Linked DNA regions of Neodiprion lecontei. The protein of the gene in region 1 interacts with the protein of each later gene in a pairwise test. Links are inferred from orthologs where the notes say so. Each region holds a gene or a part of one and is shown on either strand. Other genes may lie near its edges.

Region 1 (6,348 bases):
CCGAACCTGGCTTCAGCCGCCCCCAGCCCACGACGGTACAGATTGGAAATTTGGTTTGGGCAAGCGTATCGTCAATAGAATTTGGAATAGGAGATGGATAGACAAATCGGGTTATCCTGAAGGGCTCCGTGAGCTTGGGATAATGGACAATAATGCAGGTGAGACGGTTGAAAGAGCGAGAAGGTGAAAACTCGTGTAACAACGATTCGGAAACGTGGCAAACGAACAATAAAATAGAAAAAAACTTTCTTTCGTGAATCATTTTATCACTGTATTTACGTTCAAATTATGCTCTATAGGTACTACTTATGCACTTCGTGAATGCAATGAAATAGAGTCCGTCAACGAAATCTTACTCGATAGAGGCCAATATCGTGATGCATGGTTCTTGGGTTGTACAACGGATGAGGTATCACTAAATTTATCAATTTTATCTGTATTGTACTGCCGTAAAGATTCTTAACTCCAGTGGAACCAGCCACGGCTACAAACACTCGTGGATTTATAAGTTTAAATTTTCCGCGCCTCAATTTTCTGCAATGTGAAAAGGGGATAAAATTAAACCTCAACGGCGTTAGATAAACAGATTTTCATTATTATTTTCGTCCCACAAACTAAAGACGTTAGCCAAATTTCGAACTCACTTACGAAACCATACAATGTGCTGCTGATAAAATGAACTTTGGAAGGATGTAACTGCCACCGCATAAATGACGCTGATATCGTCGTTGAATCGAAACCTAGACGAACAACACGCATCGGAATCGATAATGTCTTATATATATATTACATGTGTTGACTGCTTAATTTTATTAGATTTTTCCAACAGTTTCTTATTCACGTATCCAGAGTATGTGGTTTTGATTGAGCTGACGATTAAATAAGAAAACACGCATGCATACTATGAATGGAAAGTCTTCTATGCTGGTTCGTTTTCCGCCTACAACACGGATGTCCAAACCATGCCCTTTGAGAGCTGCAGACTTTGATCCCGTAGGCTTTAAATGGATGAAGGATAGAAAATCACACAGGTGCAATACCGTTAAAATTCGCTTCGCATTCATACTCGAGAGGCCAAGGGAAAATTTGGCATGAGGTATCTTCTATTTGCAAGTATGGCCATGATTACTTTTTGACACTACATAAAAATAAACATCATACTTTCTATAATCATGAAGTTGCATCTACTATGTTTACCTATATTACTTTAAAATGGGCCAGTAAAGTGGCTAATTTCTACACGTTGCTGCCAGATCTTGATTGAACAAATTAAACGCAATCAAATGTTTAAATTCAATGAATCTCGACTCGTTTCAAACATCAAAATTACGGAGGATACTTTATTATGCATCAATATACAATTGTATTAAATACGCTATGAGATCAAAATATAATATTCTCAAAAAAAATTATTCTTGGTGAATAACGAATATGTAATGCCTGCATGATAATATTCCGCATAATTATTCACACAAAAAAAATCACTTTATTGGTACAGAATAAAATCAACGTTTAATATCGCGCATCAAATTCGAATAAGGTCTTTGCTATTCCCTCGCTGACTGTGGAGTAAAAATATTTTGTAGACAAAAATTGGGGCATAACGATTTTGTTATTAGCAATTATTATTTTACTTGTGCTCTGTGTACAAACAAAACTTTGTATCATTTTATGTGTAAGAAAATGTATAGCTCAATGACTTGAAGCAGTGTTAAACAAGTTGATAACGTAACACCGAATGTACAGTGAAGATATATTCTAGAACAATTTTGAAGAGTTAAATTAAAAATACAGACAAAAGGCATAAAATTAGGGCATGAATTAAAATGAATGTAACTTAATTATGTCACATAGATATCTCTATGCAGTCTCTGCAAGTTCCTTTTGCGTTGACATCTGTCCTTGTATTTTCATCTCCATTACATCCATAATAGCTTCCCTTATTTTACTCTTTTCAAGTCCAATTTGTTGAATTTTCTCCATCTGCTCCGTTACATAATTCACTCTTCTTTTGAAATAATCTTTCGCACCTTGGATATCCTTCTGCGCGTAATACCCAGTCCCAATATCAACTATCACCGTCTCTGTATCAGCTAATTTCCCCGTAACGTACATCGAACCTGTCAGTGGCACGAGTATCTCTTTTCCTGCAAAACAAAATTGATACTGATCAATATTTTCAAGACTTGAACCTGCGAGATTAGAGATCATACAATAAACTATATATTGTTAAAAAAGTAGATTGCATACCAGTCAATCAATATTAAAAAATCCTAGATCAAATGTGAGACAATGATAAGGAGCTTATAATTATCATGATCCATTAAGTAAATAAAGTAAGTTCGTGGATTGAAATTGTTACTGGCATTGCAAATATTGCAGAAAGAATACCCTGCAGATAAATAGGCACAGGGAAACCTAGCTCAGTGAAGAAAAAAAATCTGAACACAGTGGTAATGGGATTGGAATTCAGATCAACTTCTTGTTGAGGAAAAGAAAATTTGAGAAAGTTAAAAATCTCAAAAGGGTCTTGCCTGATTGACTGACATCAGGAATAGGATTTAAAGGTAATGGCAATCTTAAAGACGCGTGAATGATGCATGGCTCATAACCTCCAAATTATAATCGGTTAGCTAGGGATTGGAGAAAATGAAGTGGTTTAAGGAAGGCTTACCCTTAGCGGACGGGGTAAGCTTCTCAAGACTAGTTCCGGACTCTTGGAACTTGTTTTGAGCGATTTTTAGGGTCTGCAGCGAGTCCTGGAAAACACCAAGTTCCTGATCCAATTGTTGCTTCAATTGTGTAAGCTGCTGGAGATTCAACTTCGTCAGGTCAATCTGCTGTAACATCGGGCCCTCGGTTGCAGATATTTGCGACATGATTTCGACGTTATTTTACGCTGTTTGTCAAGCGAATGATTGAGCATATAAATTCTGAATTGCCGCACGATTCGACTGCTCGATCTATGACCATACCGGGATAGGCATTGCTCCCGTTACGTAGATTTCAGCCGTGGAGCATGAGCTTGGATCCGGTGATCGTAGATGGCGCACCTACACGTCTATGTAAGCGACGTCCAGAACAGCTAAGAATATGGAGCGTGTAGGAGGGAATCTTGGTGTTATAAGACGTGTGCCGATTTTGGCTACAAATAGTGCTCGCGGTGCTAGCGCTGTGAAACGTAAGTTGCCCAACTGACTATGGTTTAAAATGTAATAAGTGTAATTATGTAATTAATTAATATCGATCAGGGCCACGTCGGTTATTTTATGTACCCTTATTTGCAGTCCATTAGAGAGTGCCCTCCTTCTGTACACTGCTAGGCTACAAAATTCGAAAAACCCATGGAGCTAGGAAAAATCGCAAAGACTGCTAGCCTTGGGTTTTGTTTCGTAATGGTTGGCCGAGTCTGGGGGGATTTAGGGATAATTCTACTAACCTGCACTTACCTACTCCTCTCTGCCTACTCGTCTTGTAGGATCTGGACGTAAAATCAAGTCGGCATAGCAGAACACTGCAATATTCTTCCGCGAAATACCACTGCAAATAATTGATTCTAGCGATTTTTAAAATCGCCCGTAATTTTTCGAACAAACTGTAAGGCCTTAGTGTTGCTTGCGATTTCTGGGAACGGTAAACTTTTTCAGTCCAAAAATGATAACCAGAACTCTTTTGGATCAACAACTGCAAATGTGCGCCAAAATTTGGGAGAATTTCTCCGTTTTTCGCCTGTGACTTTTGATCCACAGCTCCTAGCAACTTTAGACTATGCATAATCGATTATTTTTACTTTATAATATATCGAAACAGCTTCTGAAATCATTAATTTTAGTGTTTTTTGAACAAAATCCAGTGAGCAACCATAATTTTTATAGCTGTCATTTCAGAGGCAACAAGTTTTTGGGTCCGAGATTTTTTCACCCGCCGCCCGAGCTTTGCATCACTTTTTGACAAATCAAGATTTTTACATGATGAACTCACGCACAATTTTGCTGTCCTGCCGTTTACGTATACAAACGAGATAACAAGCTTTTGCTGTAGAAGTAATTTTCAAGTGTTTTCCAATTAATTGGGAGAACACAGAAATGATGACATGAGCATTTTTACAGTAACTATTGCGAAGTCATAATAAAACCAATTAATGTATTCGTACATATCTAGTATCCTTACTGCAATTCGATAAAATGGATAGTTCATCAGTATCAGCAAGTTTTCAAATACTTGCTGAAAATATTGTCAATTTTGGCTGGAAAAGTGCGAAAAGTTAGGAACCGTTCTCGCATCAGTCACTAAAATTCACCAATATATCAAAGCTATCGAATTCTTTACAACAGTCAATGAACCGGCGCATTTTGTTACCAGGATCTACATATTGACTTGACCGTTACGAGACACGCCAGATATTCATTTGCTGCAGATATCTGTACTGCAAAATGGGGGTGTGAACGAGGCTTAAGAATACGAGATAAACTCACCGTGTCTCAAACCATCCAAGTGTCACTTACCTGTCAACATATTAAAGTTTCCTCAGAATAACTCCGAGTTGAGTTATTCTTCTCAGCCATCAAGGAGAAAATGATTCACAGTTTATTTATAATAAATTCATCAGGGTAAGTTTGTTTCTATATAACAAGTTAGTTCATAAACCTGAGAAATAACCGTGACATAGCCTAAAAATTTGTCACCTTTCAGAGATGTATTTATGGAAAAACATTGGAAAAGTGCGGTCGCGCGATCCCTGTGTGATTATTTTTTTGACCAACAACGTAGAGTTTCTTCACCTGAAGACACGCCACCAGTTATTGCAACACCGCATCATTATTTGATCAGCATATATCGCTGCAATATGTTTTTTGTCGCTGTGTGTATGACGGAAGGTACGCTGTTGCTAAATGCTTCATAGTATTATATCTTTGCTAATTTTAATGTGATCTCATCATTTTTGTTACATTGGTTAATTACAGTTATAATTCTCACGCTGCTGGTAAATATTACATACTTATCGACTGTTTCAGTTCCGCCACTGTTTGTTATCGAGTTTTTACACAGAGTAGTAGACACGTTTGAAGACTACTTCAGTGAATGTACAGAAACAATAATAAAAGAGAATTATGTTGTTGTTTATGAATTGTTGGACGAAATGTTAGACAATGGTTTTCCATTGGCGACAGAATCAAATATCCTCAAAGAACTGATTAAACCACCCAATATTTTAAGAACGATAGCTAATACCGTAACAGGGAAGTCTAAGTAAGTAAAATAACATTACTACTACTGCTATGAGTACAGTAATACTGACAGTCGCTTACCATATTGTACAATTTTCAGTGTGAGTGCAATCTTGCCAAGTGGCCAATTGTCAAATGTACCCTGGCGAAGAACGGGTGTTAAATACACAAATAATGAAGCTTACTTCGATGTTGTTGAGGAAGTTGATGCTATAATTGACAAAACTGGGGCAACAGTTTTTGCAGAAATCCAAGGCTATGTATGAATCGTAAAGTTATATTTTGTAAAAGAAATTCTCATAAACCAGAAATGGAAGCTCTTAATGAATCATATGATAACAAGGCAATATTAATTTTCAGATTGATTGCTGTATTAAATTGAGTGGCATGCCTGATCTCACACTTTCATTCATGAATCCAAGATTATTTGATGATGTCAGCTTCCATCCATGTGTTAGGTTCAAGCGATGGGAGGTTTGTGTCTACATTTATAACATAAATGTAAACAATATTGACTCACAGGCAGAATAACTTATACTATTTTAGTCCGAGAGAATATTGTCCTTCATTCCACCAGATGGTAACTTCCGACTTCTGTCCTACCATATCGGGTCGCAAAGTATTGTGGCAATTCCTATATACGTAAGGCATAATATAAGCCTAAAGGAATCTGGTGGCGGCAGATTGGATATTACAGTTGGGCCTAAACAAACTGTTGGACGAACTGTAAGCAATTTTATGCAATCTTTTAAGCTTTGAATATGTTTGAAAAAAACTGTAAGTGACTTGCAGTTCGTAAAACTATTTTTATGCTGTGTTAATTTCATACATTATATCTGATATTTACGGATCAAGATAAGGACAAGGGTTGTGATTGATATTGCTTAATTCTCTTTTTTAGGTAGAAAATGTTAATATCGAAATTCCCATGCCAAAATCAGTATTAAATTGTAGTTTGGTACCCAATCAAGGAAAGTACTCTTTTGATCCAGTCAGTAAAGTACTTGTGTGGGATATTGGAAGAATAGATGTTGCGAAATTGCCCAATCTTCGAGGAAGTGTAAGTTGCAATAGAAAAAATTCAACAATACTAATAATACTACAAAAAACAAAATTTTGA
Region 2 (8,389 bases), on another chromosome or scaffold:
CTCTTGATCACGATGCATTACTGTGGGATCTCCGACAACCAAAGCCAGCCAGCTGTATGTATGCAGTTTATGAATCCCTCTTTGTTAATGAATCTAGATTTTTGATCATGGTCATCGACCTTTGTCATCGACTTTTGCTCTGCAAAGTTTTTTGAAAAATAACTAACCTGAAACACTTTACACAAATATTCAACTTTAGCATTGATTTCAATTTTGTAATTATCAGACATAAGCCACAAAGTGTCTTAACTGATGCGAAGTGCTTAATTTCAGATACTTGATAATATTTCACATTCGTTTTCCTCTGTAACATTAGTGACTGTATCATAATACTATTCCAAGGTATAATCAAAAATGTCGAATGTGGACTGACTGCAGCAGCATGGAATCCGAAAAATGTACATGAACTTGTGATTGGAGATGCAGATGGTAGAATTTTAGTGCTTGATGTCAGGCAATCAAATAGTGAACCTGTTTTCCAAAACCCTCGAGCTTTTTCTAGAGGAGTTTACAGGCTTTTATTCAATTCAGCCAGGTTTGTGTGAACCAATTTCGCTTGATTCATTCCCAGTGGCTATGTACATGAGTATAATGTTTCTACAACACTGAAATTATTTTTATACTTGCCCTAATTATTCAATTTGCATAGAAATGACCAATTTGCTGGATGCTGCGATAGTACAGAGGTGAAGGTGTTCGATACAAGCCACAACATGGAAGTGATATACGAAAATAAGAACCATCGTGACTTTGTTCGTGGATTGGCATGGGACCAAAATTGTCTACTAACAGCTTCCTGGGATAACACTGTTCTGGAACATGCGATATCTTCTTGATGTTGATTTGCACATTAAATTACTCGATACAGAATCGACAACTATGCAAGTCATTCGTTATGTCGAGATGTTGCCTCGTTAATTGTCATCTGAATCAGTGCCCTAACAATTTGAAGTTACTGTTTATTTCATACATTTTTAATAAATGCTTACAACATTGTATATACTATTGTATCATTGGTTTCGTTTTAACAATTTTAATACATGGTTGTAATTTCATACATACAACATACCAGTATTCATGAACACAAATAATAACTTCCCAACATGCCATTCTTATGCAATCTCGAGTAAGCTTACATCATTCTGAACTGTGTTAATATTTTTAATCGTAAGGTAATTGAAACGATCATCCCTTTCCCGATTTGTCTCAAAAACGCGATTGAACATGCACTGTCCTTGTGTCAATTTCTGACACATGACACTAAGTTGTTTCATTGGCCTATTCCGTTAGATCCAACCACTACAGTCACTAAAAAGTGTGATCACTGAAATATAGAAATATATTTCATAGCGTTTTCTACTGGTTGCACTGGCTCGAACAGGGGGCATTCGTTCCGTGCATGCGTCGCCCGGCATCGGGGCAAACCTTCTGAGTGGAACACGCCGTAAAACGTATAAAGGCAGACTAGGGGGCTTATTACGGTTCTCGAATCGAGTGAAAATGACGAAAGTGACTGGCTCGCTCTATTACGGTGAATCTCACGAGGTGAAAAGACGTTATCCACATGAATAAACTCGACACGAAATTCGGTGTCGAGAATCGTTCTGCGCATGCTCGTGAGCGTAATTTGCTTGGATTTGCCTGAAAGTTCCATCGGTTTCATAAAAGAACGAAGATCACTCCATATTTGTTGGTTAAAGAGTAAAAGTTATTGATACGTGGGAACTTGTACAATGAATAATTTAGTGATCGTGATTATGCAAAATCGGGAAAATCGAATGCTCAGAATACGACGAACACTACGCGATGCCTCAGACCCATTCAATATAACTTATATATATTTATATTATTTATTACATATTTTATATATTACACTTCTGTCACGTTCATTTTCTTCAACAATTCTTTCTGACATTCACAACAACTTTTCTAGGTTATCTGACAAAATGGAGTCAACTTTCGTGAAAATGTGAGATCCCTATACCGGAAGTGCCTAGTTACTTCACATTTTCACTCGAGAGATCCGTAATAGAGTGACTAAACTCACGTGAGATGAAAATGTGAGAAGTGAGTAAACTCGCTCGAGAACCGTAATAAGCCTCCAAATCATAATTTCTCCTAAATCAGAAATAATGTGACGTTACTTGACTGACTGCGCGACTGTCAGTTTTTTCAAGCAAGTGATAAAGGAGCCAATTGAACAAACGCAACGGTAATTTTTTGTTTGTAAATATATGTCACAAATGTTAGGCACGAGCATACAGGGGCAAAAAAAATTGACAATTCCACTGAAAAGATAAAAATTAATAAGTAGCAAGTCGAGCTGTCCCAATCTCCTGAAATATACCTAGCAGTTAACCTCTAAAAGCTGAAAAAATGTGTATCCATACTTCGATATCGGACATGCTGTGGATTACTCCTAGGACATTTAAAATTTTGGGAATCTCTCCTCTATCTTTCGGCTCCAGCAAGTCATCATCACTGCTAGACGAAGATGAAATTAGATCTAATAAAAGAATTGCTGTCACAGCACCTACTTAGACTCTTTCACGATCGGCAGCCATAATTGCACTGCTTTGACACCGACTCCCGATTCAGGGCAATATTTTACGCACTCAGTGCCAAGTTCACGTACCCGAGCTGCCAGTGGAACACGCTGGAAATTAGTGGAAATACGAGTCTACCGCTAGTGCGCTCTCAGTTCACACTCAGTGCATCCAATGGAAAACGCTATCAGTGGTTTTGATTCGTGTCGGAAAATGACGTAAGAAAAGCTCCTTGGATCTAGTGTCAAACTTCTGGAATTGTCGGGGAGTGCTACTGCAACGTCATAGGCCGATGAACTAGGAAAATTACATTCGGTTGTACAGCCTGCGAATATTACTGTGACTCATACCTTATTGTCTTTCTTGCTTCACTATATTGTTAACAAGCTCTGTTTCAGTTCCACTCACAGTTTCACTAGATTTTTGATATACCAATCGACTTTTCCACCTACATTAAGTTGCTTCGGTTTCCGGAATTGCGTGATGTTTCGACCTAACCTAACATTTATAGAATCCTGCTAAGTTGTGGAAATTAGGGTATTACAGAAATAAATAATTGACCATCGCGTTATCGCAATTCTTGATTTAATTTCACAAGGTAATATCTACATTACTCAATTAAAATGGTTGATGAGATTCAAAAGAAACTTCAAGCTGAACTTGATAAATTTAAAATTGTTCAAAAAGGTAAGATCAACTCTTTCCATTAAAACACTGGATTGATTTTCTCTCGACTCATTAATTCGTTAGAAATATTTCTCGATATCAGATTACCACAAGGCTCTTCTACAACGGCAGCAACTCGATGGACAGTTAAATGAAAATACCGCTGTAAAACAAGAATTAGATCTTTTAAAATCAGGGAACGAGGTTTTTAAGTTAATTGGTCCGGTGCTAGTCAAGCAGGACTTGGAAGAGGCAAAGCAAAACGTTGTCAAAAGAATGGAGTACATTTCGGCCGAATTGTAAGTATCGCCTCAGATATTTCTAATAAAAATTTTAAACTTCAGTACAACATTAGGCAAAACAAGAGTATGAATACTTTGCAACGAAAGGCCATATACAAGATTCTTACTACCTTCGTTACGAATGCTAATTGAATAAATGAAGTCACCTTCATTCAGCGATGTTTGATTTCTTCCAAGTGTTGATTATCGGTCAAATACATTTGAAGTTTGCGAGTGTTTCAAGATTCACGTAAAGCTGAAACTAGCAGCCAAAGGTGCCAACGTTGACTAAAAGAAGGCATAGTGCCGAACAATCGTAAATCTGTCAATTTGATTGGAAAGCTGATACTTTCACAGAATTACAGATACATAAGTATAGTAATAAGACTTGCCAATCGAAGAGTGTTTAATATTGTTTTCAGAAAACGCACTGAAGATTTGATAGCAAACCTGGACAAAAAGCAGGATACTCACCGCGAGGCATTGGCTAAACTTCAACAATCCTTTCAACAGGCTCAATTGAAGGCAGCTATGAAGGCCTAAAAACGATCGGAAAATACATAATTGTTAATAATCTACTAAATAATTCACTACTGCTGTGTACGCTTTGAGATTATCTTGTCATCTGAAGTCCCTAATGTGAACGTTATAATTCTCATTCATATTTTTCATTAAATACATTAATTATCTAATACATAATTAGATCTAAATTTAATTTACTGACCTCGTTTAAAACCTCAATAAAGAATATACTTTTGAAAATTATAAAATCATAGATCCCTTGGAAAAATAATTAACAGTAGATCAAAAAGGTACCATTGCCTCTATTTAATAATCTAATCTTGAAGATGTTGAAAGGAATGTTTCAAAATTGAAATATTAAAAATATATGAAAACTATATATAAAAACTAAATAACTCAATTAAAAACTATAGAAGTAACTAGTTTTTGCTTCTATTTCTGTGCGAAAAAAGATCGTTTGTGGTTCTTCTTATTTCATGAAATTTAAATACTTCCATTAACAGAGTTCGACTTTCGTATTGATATTCGTAAATTGTGCTGTATAAAAGTCATTGTTCAGAATGCGAAACTGGCCAATCTCTTTTAATTCGTTGGAAAATTTCATTCAAAAATCCTACACGTTCAAAAAGCGTAGCCCACAATAAGGTCTACTTATTGTTGATCCGTTTGTATTTCTTCGTAGTGGTAGTTTATAAACGTTTAGTATTTAATACCCTCGATAAATAGAGCGAAATAATTTTCTCGCTGAATATTTGCAGTATGAAGGATTTATTGTCTACTGGTAAAACAACGGGCATTCTAATGATTGTTAAGATCGCATTCACATGTTTACAAGAGTCTTACATAAGTTCTCTGTCAACAACATATAGAATTGACACTTGTAAATAGATCATCCTGTTTACCAATTAAGTCACTGCAGATGTATCGTATAACGCAGTAAAAGAGTTGCGTAGTTTTTCGAATAAGAATCAAGTTGTACGGGAAGTTACGTTTGTTTACCAGCATTTATAATCGAAATATGTCGGCAGATAATTTGAATATTCTATTATGCGGAATCATATATTTCCCGATTAATCTATACTAGTAAACATCGCGGAATCATTTGAATTTTTACATATCTGAATTCTACCGTATAGGTAAGAATACTAAACAAATGCAAATATTTGTCATAAGACCTTGACGGCATTGGTATAATTACTGAAACATTTTTTTTCCCTTAGAATTGTTGATAAAAGTAAATTTTACCCAACGACTATCGGTGATTCATATTTTGGGATCAAATTTTTAGCAAAAAAAAGCAGTTATATAGGCTTCGTCAAATAAAAATATGCTATTAGTAAAATAAACAAACATGTAATATTATCCCGTAGTGTACTAATTTCTTTGCGAACCAAAATCTGACTAAGATGAGGAAACACGAGGATGCAATAAAGTGACCGCATTTTTATTCATAACTATCAAGTGCAAGGTCTTTAAAGTTTGGATATATCTCCGGTAGAAAAACTATGTTCGTAACATTTTTTACGATGGATTTGATAGGATCAGTTTCCGGCTAATCCGACGCCCACGACAACTCTTAACTTCATTCGTTTCCTCGTAATTTCTTTTCATTTTCTATTCCATTCGAAATTTGAATGGTCAAACAAGCTTTCAAGTCTTGCCCTATTGAATATACATCGTTATCGATAAATAATAAGCCGACGCAGTATTTATAAGCAGTCAAGTTTCGTTGTTATAATATATGCCGTGAGGTCTCGAATTTCTTATGATTTAAAATTTCAATGGGAGGACAGGCGAGTAATCGAATTGCTGGGTTTCGAAATGAATTACAGATCCGAGCACCGTTCTTTTTTGCTCATATATTTGTTTAATAGATAACATAACAAGCGGGTATCCGGCCCCAGTCGGTAGCGCGAACCTCCTCCTAAACATAGTAATTATTATCTTTATCGTGTATATAATATTTATAATATGGTAATAGTATAATGATTCGTATCTACAACGTTGATATAGAAAATATGTTTATACAAATAGGAAAGTATATATAATATATTATAATATAATATACATATTACAACGATTACGTACATAATTATATATAATATCTCAATATCATATTAAAATAGAATATTATTGTTGCCAATTGTATGACGCTGGTGCGCTGGCGCATATACATTGTATTATCAATTTTTATTATCTATATTCTTACATTTCGCGTGCGCGGCCGAGAGGTTTAATAGGATTTCACGTTAACGTTAGTTGGGCGTAATTAATTCTTTTGTTAGTATCAACGCGTCTTATTATTGTATACACATATCCTATATTCAATATTGACTCAAATTTGTGAATTATGTAAGGGTATTACACGCGTGTCTGACGCCAGGTTCGTGTATTTCATGGTCACGTAAGTTGGACGTGGGCACAACTGCTGACTTTCACTTTAGCATTTTATTTCAAGCCCTACGCGTCAATTGATATGCGCAGTTCAAAGATTCTTCAGGCGAATGGACCTCAGCCAAGACAGTTGAACTATGTTACGATATGGACGCAATAAAAATAACCCCGTCAATCCTGCTGGTCAAAGATCTATAAAATCGTGATATTAATTCCTCTTGATTAGTTCATAACCCTTCTCTAAGACAGATGCTAGAGGATGTGAAACGAATTAACGAAAAATTATTCATGTAAACTTCAACTGGCTTTCTGTGATTATTCCGGGAACGAACGTGGAGGTGTAGCTATAAAGCAATATGGCGACGAGAACCGAACTATCGGCAAAATATTTTATGTCAATTATGCGAATAGAAAACATATACAGACAACTTGATGCAATTTGCGAGGCTTTAATTTTTTCACATGCAGCCGATAACCTGTAAAAAATACGATAAAAGTGCTCATTAAAAATTAAATACGGGCCCCGAAATTAGGTTAACGTATTTTTTCGCCACCAGATGTCACAGCGTTACATTTCCATTCCCAATGATAAATCGTCGACCCCCCCCCCTCCCCGTATTGTACAATTTATACACCAAGTCCGATTACTCGTTTAGAACGCAAGTGCGAACAAGGGCGTCGATGACGGAATAAGGATCACAGTTACTACTGGGCCTCCTGTCCTCCAAGTACCCTTTCTTGTCCTCGGCGACGCCGCGAGGTATACGAATACTGACGTTCCTGTTCGCGACGCCGGCGCTGAAGTCGTGGATACTGCTGGTCTCGCACTTTCCGGTTAAACGGCGCTCGTTGTCCTTTCCTCCGCGTGGATCGTAGGCCTGGATGTGCCTGAGGTGCTTCTTGCTGAGGCGGTCGATGGCCCTCTCGATCTCGGCGATTCCGCCATCGGCGCGCATCGTCTTCGTCGAGAAATTGGTGTGGGCACCAGCGCCGTTCCACGCTCCATCGACGGGTTTCGGGTCGAGGGTCGCGATCACGCCGTACTCCTCGGCGATGCGGTGGAGGATGAACCGCGCCATCCAAAGGTCGTCTCCCCCCGATATACCGACGCAGGGACCGACCTGGAACTCCCACTGCGAGGGCATCACCTCGGCGTTTGTTCCGGCGATCTTCACCCCGGCGTAAAGACACGCTCTGTAATGAGCCTCGACGATTTCCCGCCCGATCACTCGGTCCGCACCGACACCGCAGTAGTACGGTCCCTGGGGTCCGGGGTAACCGTTCTTCGGCCAGCCCAACGGCCTGTTGTCGAAGTCGAGGAAGGTGTACTCCTGCTCGATACCGAACCACGGCTCCTGATCCTTCACGGCTTCCATCGATTGCATGGCGGCGAACCGCTTGTTACTTTCCGTCGGTGTCTTGTCCGGCTTGTAAGTCTCGCAGAGGACAAGCTTGTTGTCGCCTCTTCGGAAGGGGTCGCGATAGATCGCCACCGGGGTCAGGTAAATGTCACTGTTGGCACCGTCCGCTTGGTACGTTGAACTACCGTCGTACGTCCAAATTGGCAACTCTGCAAATGAACAAACGTATGGTATGAGCTTCGTTAACTAGGTTCATCTTTTCTGAATACTGGCATTGTCACTTTTCAATGCGTCATCTGGTGGAAAACAAATTAAAGTAATGCAATCAGACTGACAGCTGAGCGTTGATCGACGTGTTTTTCACGTGTGGATGTTAGAACAGATGTATTATTGATGTTGGTTAATTAATTTACATGACATGAGTGATTTGAAACTCCAAGAAGTACGATTTGCTTCCATTAAAATTAAAAACTTAGGTTATGTGGTGATAAAATGACGCCGATAATCAGGTTCTGACGTCATGAGGACATTATCCAATACTTGTCATCACGACAGTGGACAGTAAGGTATGTGGAGATTCTCAAAATAATCATTATATGTATAAGGTCACTAATTTGCA

What was found. The genes of interacting proteins can lie anywhere in the genome.
Region 2: the proteins of prefoldin subunit 5 (region 1) and prefoldin subunit 6 interact in a two-hybrid assay, tested with the Caenorhabditis elegans proteins (2 studies listed by BioGRID). The link is inferred for Neodiprion lecontei from reciprocal best matches to the Caenorhabditis elegans genes pfd-5 and pfd-6.

What each region holds. Positions count from the first base shown.
Region 1 is NC_060262.1:34,389,970-34,396,317, forward strand, and holds prefoldin subunit 5, read right to left. Parts: upstream 3,005-6,348; 5' UTR 2,880-3,004; coding exon 2,675-2,879; intron 2,148-2,674; coding exon 1,861-2,147; 3' UTR 1,312-1,860; downstream 1-1,311. Other genes in the region: trypsin-3-like, read right to left, coding at 1-262; AP-3 complex subunit mu-1, read left to right, coding at 4,576-4,610, 4,693-4,877, 5,016-5,250, 5,329-5,488, 5,589-5,702, 5,775-5,954, 6,130-6,288. UniProt on the Caenorhabditis elegans protein: Binds specifically to cytosolic chaperonin (c-CPN) and transfers target proteins to it. Binds to nascent polypeptide chain and promotes folding in an environment in which there are many competing pathways for nonnative proteins.
Region 2 is NC_060266.1:6,915,134-6,923,522, reverse strand, and holds prefoldin subunit 6, read left to right. Parts: upstream 1-2,876; 5' UTR 2,877-3,169; coding exon 3,170-3,233; intron 3,234-3,315; coding exon 3,316-3,511; intron 3,512-3,915; coding exon 3,916-4,036; 3' UTR 4,037-6,676; downstream 6,677-8,389. Other genes in the region: methylosome protein 50, read left to right, coding at 1-54, 343-535, 650-836; glutamine synthetase 2 cytoplasmic, read right to left, coding at 7,054-7,979. UniProt on the Caenorhabditis elegans protein: Binds specifically to cytosolic chaperonin (c-CPN) and transfers target proteins to it. Binds to nascent polypeptide chain and promotes folding in an environment in which there are many competing pathways for nonnative proteins.